Coturnix japonica: one gene and its partner. The protein of the gene in region 1 purifies or fractionates together with the protein of each later gene. This does not show direct contact. Links are inferred from orthologs where the notes say so. Each region holds a gene or a part of one and is shown in the gene's direction. Other genes may lie near its edges.

The links. Proteins that work in one complex are often made in the same cells at the same time.
Region 2: the proteins of PPP2CB (region 1) and ANKLE2 purify together in Homo sapiens (affinity purification with mass spectrometry; 4 studies listed by BioGRID and IntAct, counting the BioPlex papers as one, with this or other methods). This does not show direct contact. The link is inferred for Coturnix japonica from reciprocal best matches to the Homo sapiens genes PPP2CB and ANKLE2.

The regions. Positions count from the first base shown.
Region 1 is NC_029519.1:30,558,707-30,561,878, reverse strand, and holds the end of PPP2CB (serine/threonine-protein phosphatase 2A catalytic subunit beta isoform), read left to right. Parts: exon of another isoform or gene 1-668; coding exon 669-830; exon of another isoform or gene 831-849; intron 850-1,617; coding exon 1,618-1,736; intron 1,737-1,833; coding exon 1,834-1,906; 3' UTR 1,907-2,631; downstream 2,632-3,172. Other genes in the region: GSR (glutathione reductase, mitochondrial), read left to right, coding at 2,696-2,824.
Region 2 is NC_029530.1:1,118,165-1,121,817, reverse strand, and holds part of ANKLE2 (ankyrin repeat and LEM domain-containing protein 2), read left to right. Parts: intron 1-321; coding exon 322-513; intron 514-1,026; coding exon 1,027-1,220; intron 1,221-1,706; coding exon 1,707-1,895; intron 1,896-2,173; coding exon 2,174-2,296; intron 2,297-2,548; coding exon 2,549-2,615; intron 2,616-3,272; coding exon 3,273-3,454; intron 3,455-3,653. UniProt on the Homo sapiens protein: Involved in mitotic nuclear envelope reassembly by promoting dephosphorylation of BAF/BANF1 during mitotic exit.

The DNA.
Region 1 (3,172 bases):
GGATGGGAGACAGCAGAAGGCTTTGACAAGTACCAGACAGTTCGTAGTGCCCTTTAGTTTCTTAATAGCTCAGTGAGAAAAGCTGCTGGTGAATGTTAAAAGACATGTACCAGGGTATTTCTGAATATGTAAAATCCAATGAACAACAATTCAGGAGAGGAAACTACATGCTTAATACCCTGCCAGAAGAACCGCTGAAGATTAACAATCAATCTTTTGATTAGTTCACTTAGGTCACTTCAGGTGGATAATTTCCCTTGCATTAATTTATTACAAGTTGGTTGGCACTAATGATCCCTTTGTGTATCCTCGGACTTGCATACATACTTTCCCATGTGGTCTTTATTCTGCTGTGAGAGTCAGGAAGAACGTGGATCTGCTGTGCATGTCTTTGCAGCTCTGGTTAGGTGAGGTGGGATGGCAAGCAGTGTGTGATGGAGGTGGCCAGAGTTCTCTGGTTGCAGGGACTCCTCAGCTGTATGCGGATTCGTTTCTTGTGAAAGGATGTCGACTGATGCATGGAGTAACTAACTGTTGTTAGATAAACATATGTGGCTTATGCAGAAAAGAAAATGCAGGCTTTTTACTGTAAACTTGTAAAGATATATTTTCATAACTACTTTGCAAGCACAATGAAAGCTAATGAAGAATACTCACTTTCTTTCAAGGGTCCAATGTGTGATCTGTTGTGGTCGGATCCAGATGATCGTGGTGGCTGGGGCATATCTCCACGTGGTGCCGGCTACACGTTTGGGCAAGACATTTCTGAGACATTTAATCATGCCAATGGTCTTACACTGGTCTCCCGCGCTCACCAACTGGTCATGGAGGTAGGGCAAGCATTTCGTGCTGAACAGGCAGAGAGGAAAAAAAAGATAGATGTCAATTCTTGTCTCTTTTGTTAGACCTTCTAATGTGTTGGCATGAGCTGACACGTAAAGGCTAAGCAGGTAAGTTCCTGAAAGGGATTTTAATCGTGTGAAAACAACAAGCGATGTAAAAGGATGTGCTTTGACCTGCTCTGTAGAGAAGTACATTGCCAAAGAGACCCTGCCATGCCCTGTTTGTTGAAGTAATAATCTTCTTATGTGCTCCATTAAACAGGCTGCCCTATAGTACGCAGTGGTCAGATGTGACAGGGATTAAGCCCTAAGTTTGGCTACTGATGGTCTATTCTTGTTTGTCTTGATGGAAAACTGCCTAGTGGGTCAGTGGAGCAGACTTATTTTTACATGGAGTTCCGGCAGGTCTCGTTAGTAGCAGCGTGTGTCAGAATGCCCTTCCAGGTGAACTGGCAGATTCTCATTTGTGGTGAATGAAGGCTGAGGGTCTACCTGAGATCTCTAGTTTTCCTTCTCCTGTGATCCACAGTTTGCAAACAGACCAGTGCAAATAGCTGGTCTCTGTGTAGAATGGCTTCAATTATTGTTGCTGGGTAAGCACTGCTTGTAAACGCCACTTGCTGACGCTGTAGAGTGCCTTCTGAAAGTGGAACTACCTGGAAGAAACCTTCTGTTTCACAGCTGGCTTGAGTTGTTGTTTGAGGCTGGAAGAGGAAATTCAGACGGACTGAGGGCTGAGGTTTAACAGAGACCTCTTTTCTCTTCTTCCCGGCAGGGCTATAACTGGTGCCACGACCGAAATGTGGTGACCATTTTCAGTGCGCCCAATTACTGTTACCGCTGTGGGAACCAGGCTGCTATCATGGAACTAGATGACACTTTAAAATATTCCTTGTGAGTAATGTGCTTTGAGCTGTTCTCCTCCTGCCTAACTGCTGTATTGGAAACTGCCTCGCATGGAGGACTAATGACCCTTTTTTCTTTCCCGCAGCCTTCAGTTTGACCCAGCACCTCGTCGTGGAGAGCCTCATGTTACCCGTCGTACCCCAGACTACTTCCTATAAACCTCTCGTAACCTTTTAGAAGGAAGTACACCTGGCGTTTTAAAGAGCAACAATATTTACATGTTTCTGTAAGAAATCGGGGTTCGTCTCTACTTATAATCCCCATCATGGACCAAAACGTGCCATATTGAGGACGAAGAGCGTTCAGCACAACCTGAGACTGAATTCCTTACGACACTATGTATCCTATACCAATCAGTCCGACAGTCAGTTTGCCTGCTGTATTGTAGTCATTATTTTTTGTTGTTGTTTTTTTTTCTGGACTGTTCAGAGGACAAGGTAACTCTAACGCTTCCATCTCCTTTTACGCTTATTTGTCAATTTTTAGTTCTAGTGGTTAACTGGCATGACTTAGCGTTTTGGAGTTCATTTCTAAGGGAAATGCACACTAACTTCTTTACCCCACCACTCTTGATTTTACTGAAAGATGAGCGCCTCAAGTGGAGCGGGATGGGCTGCCTGGGGCCCAGGGCGGCCCGGCCGAGGGGAGGGCCCTGCCCCCGGCAGGGGTCGGATGGCCTTAAGGCCCCTTCCAGCCCCCGCCCTTCCGCGCTTCTAGGAGAAGGGAAGCGATTCCTGCTTTTGGGAGTACGTTGTCATAACACGGAATAAAGCGTTCCCTTTTTAGCTCGATTCCCGTCCTGTGTTGTTCCCGCCTTCGCGTACTTGTCACGGCCGCGCTTGTCCCACTCGCTGTACCTGAACAATAAACGCCCTTCTCAGCCCGAGCCGTGGTGCTGCGCTCTCGGGGGCGGGCCGGGGCGGTGCCGGGCGGGCTGGGGCTGAGCCATGGCGGCGGCCGCGTACGAGCTGCTGGTGCTGGGCGGCGGGTCCGGCGGGCTGGCGGGGGCGCGCCGGGCGGCAGAGATGGGGGCCCGCGTCGCACTGGTGGAGCCGCGGCGCCTCGGCGGCACCTGCGTGAGTCGGGCCGGGGCGGCGGGACGCGGGCGGCGGGGAGAGCTGCGGCGGCGGGCGGCGAAACGGCTCTGCAGCCCAGCGCCTCGCTGCGGACGAGCGGCGGCCGTGCGCTTCCCTTCGCCCAGCGGCCGCCCGACCCACGGTGCCAGAACGCGGCCGCAGACGGAGCGCTCGGCGGATCCTGCCCCGCGGACCGGGAGCACCGCCGACCTGCCGCGCTCAGCACCGAGGAAGCGGAGCTGGGACACGGCGCGAGGGACGCGGCACCCCCCGCATGGGCTGTGCCGGGCACCGGGCTGCCCGCGCCGCCGGCTCCGGGCAATGGGACGCGGCGTGCAGCGCTGCCGG
Region 2 (3,653 bases), on another chromosome or scaffold:
CAAAAATCATTTGCAAAGCATGAATGCAAATGATCGGAAGCGATCAAAATTGTTATGACTCCATCTTTTCCCTTCTTTGAGAAGCTCATGTGTAGAACAGGTGCTTACAGTGTGAGTATCTGAGCACTGCACATCCCCTGAAGTTACCCACAATGTGCAATATTCTTCTATTCAGTTTTCTAGAGGTAAAATTCAAATTGACTTTGACTCTTTTGCCATGTTTGTAGAGAGACACTGACCAAACTGTAAGGATAGCCTGATGATTTCTAGGAACAGATTTGAGATTACTTAAATAGCTTAATTTTGGCTGTACTGTTTCAGAGAGAATCCATGTTTATGAAGATAAGAAGGAAGCTCTCCAAGCTGTTAAGATGATTAAGGGTTCACGATTTAAAGCGTTTTCAAACAGAGAAGATGCTGAGAAATTTGCTAAAGGAATCTGTGATTACTTTCCATCTCCAAGCAAGTCCTCTCTGTGTTTGTCTCCGATGAAAACAGGACCACTTAACAGAGGTATGGAGGGTGTTCACCTGTGTACAGCAGGCGCAATGGAGAGGGGTAATTTTATGAGAGACAGGAACGAGTCCCTTCATTAGCAATGTGCCAATAACTGGAAAAAAAATCAGAGCAGTATTTTGAAGCCTCTTAATAACTTGAAACAGGTCTGTTACGATGAATTAATTACACTAAAAAATTTAAGGTAATTGTACAGAACTGCAAAAGCCATTTCAGGTATTTAGAAACTTCCTACTTGTTGTTGAACTTTCATTTTAGGCTTGGATGGAAGCAGGTTAGTAGTTGTGAGGCTGTTTTAGACTTCGGTTTGGACCAAAAAGCTTTATAGGTCAATTACGTTGTATTTCCTTCCCTACCTCTTATTACTCCCAGGATCTTAAAATGCCAATAAACTTATTTACACTAAAGATGTCAAGTTAATAGTTTGGATTAAAAGCTTTTGCTGGTGGTATAAAAATAGTGATCACTGAAAAGAGAGCAGCCAGAAGTATGACACTTGTGTTTTTATAGATGGCTTATGCTCACTGGAGATGGAAACTGCTAACAAGGAAAGGGCCAACAGTTACAAAAGTCCACGTACCCAGGATCTTACTGCTAAGCTTCGGAAAGCTGTGGAGAAAGGAGATATATCAACATTTTCAGAACTTATTTGGAGTAATCCTCGCTATCTTATTGGATCTGGGGACAATCCAACAGTTGTACAGGTAAAAAGATACATATGTTTATCTCCAAGTTCTGCTTCGGTGATAAGAGTTTGAGGGCTGATAAGCATAACTGGAATGGATGTGGTTCCCTGCTTTCCACTTCTTCCAACTGGTGTGGTTTCTCAGTGTTGATTTACACCAGTTGGAAGCTGTTTTCCTGCTCTTTTGTATGCTGAACATTGCATCTCCTTTTATTATTTAACCTTCTTTGCTACATTTTTCCCTAAATCTAAAACCTGACTATAGCTAAGAATGACGTAGTTAATTTTAAGTGTAACCTGACAGTGTGGATACATGTCTTTACAGTATTGTCACACTGCATTTCTGGATGTCAACTGTTTTGTGAACATATCTTCCTGAGATAGTAGTAGGAGATAAAAATCCCCATGTAAGACAGTGTGGGAACCCATTTTTCCCATTGGGTCATTTAAGTGTACAGGTGTAGGCAGGCTGTTGGATTTCAGTTAGCTCTGATTTGTTTTTCAGGAGGGATGCAGGTACAACGTCATGCACGTCGCTGCCAAGGAGAACCAGCCTGCTATCTGCCAGCTGTTATTGGACACCCTGGAAAATCCTGAATTCATGCGGCTTATGTATCCAGACGATGATAACACAATGCTAAAGAATCGCATCCGATACATTGTTGACCTTTACCTTAATACACCTGATAAAATGGTGAGATCTGGGATGTGTGACTGTTTCTTATTGTTAGGAAACTACTGGAAGGCATTAAGGAAGCAGAAGGGAGAAGGAAAGAGGGAAGGGACCATTTGAGCAGAAGGTAGATGGTCATGGGCTTTGTGGGTTTGAACAGTCGTTTTTCCACCATGCAATGGGAAAGGATCTATTAGGAGCCCTGTTCGTTTACTTATCCTGCATCCAAAATAAAACATACAGGATTGACTTAATGATGTTTCCATATACATGTGAATTTCCTCTCTTTAATGTTGCAGGGATTTGATACTCCGTTGCATTTTGCCTGCAAGTTTGGGAATTTGGATGTTGTTAACGTGCTTACGTCACACCCGGCTATTGTGAAAAACCCCAGGAACAAATATGATCAGACTCCAGCAGAAGTAAGTCTGTCTATGTCCACAACGAAGGCATCATGCCAAAGCAGGGCTTTTCAACTTTGAACGTTCACAGACTGCTTAGTTCACAGGCTGAGCTACCAGTGAAAAATCTATGGGTCATTACAAATATTCTGTGTTGATTATAGCCAGAGCCAAGTTTGAGATGTTAGGATTCACTGCTTTTTGCTTACAGTCTCTCTATTGGAAATCGGTGTCTTTTGTTTTACTAACAAAGAACTAATGTTTTATTAACAGGTGGTTTGTGAGAGAAGCAAGAATAAGTCTGCAGAATTGAAAGAAAAACTGAGAGAGTACTTGAAAGGTCAGTGTTCAAACAACAGCAGGAATGTGGCACTGTCAGACTCTCACTGTTTTCTGTTGGTTTTCTGTAGCATTCCTGTCCATAAGTGCTGCTGTACAGTATTGTAAAAATCACAGAGAAGCTCTAAAACTGACAAGGAACAGAAAACTTGCCGTGTCTTTTAAATGGAGCGGTTGGTTCTCTTACTGTATGGATTGCAGGATTTTCCTCATAGCTCTCCATAATGGCACAGCCATTATTTTATTCAGCATGTCTATGGCAGAAAATCATCTTAAAGCAAACAAAAGACCTCCACAGGGCAGGAGGTTCCTTGGTCACATTTGGCACCCCTGTGCTTTCCCTGACAAGAAAATCTTGCCTGTTTTGTCACGTGCAGGTTTGGGCATCTGTCAAACAGACTTTGAAACGGGGTGACAATCCATTAGAAAATGCTGTGTGTATCAGGGCGTGTGTTTTTGCATTTGAGACAGAAGGGAGCATAGACTGAAATACAGCCTGCAAGCAGGCAATAAACACTGTACAAGTGAATTTGAATCATATATTTTACTGGTGAAATCAAGTCAGATGGTTAAATGTACAGGTGTATCGATGTTCTAGGAGGAAAGAGCAAGCTAATGTAACAACAGCTTAAGAAAGCTTGGTTTTGCTTTATTTAAGGTCGATACTACGTACCACTGCTGAGAGCAGAAGATAATTCCTCAGCTCCTGTCATTGGTGCACCATGGTCACCAGATCAGACAGATGAGAGTCCTCAGGCAGCTCTGTCCAAATATATTGGCAGCCCCAAGGATCCAGTGTTGTCCATACGAGCTTTCGCAGGCCCCATGAGTCCGTCCAAGGTAAGGAGCTGATGAGAGCTTCATGTGACATCTGTGCTTGTTCATGAAGGTGGAGCTGTGGATGGGATTAAAAAAAATTTCTCCTTTCTGGAATGTTTGAAGCAGTTCATCAACTTTACTTACTGAATTCATGATAAAGTCTGCTTCCTGAATGGAAACAGTGACAGTCAAATAGTAGGTATTGGATAGTTCTAGAAGA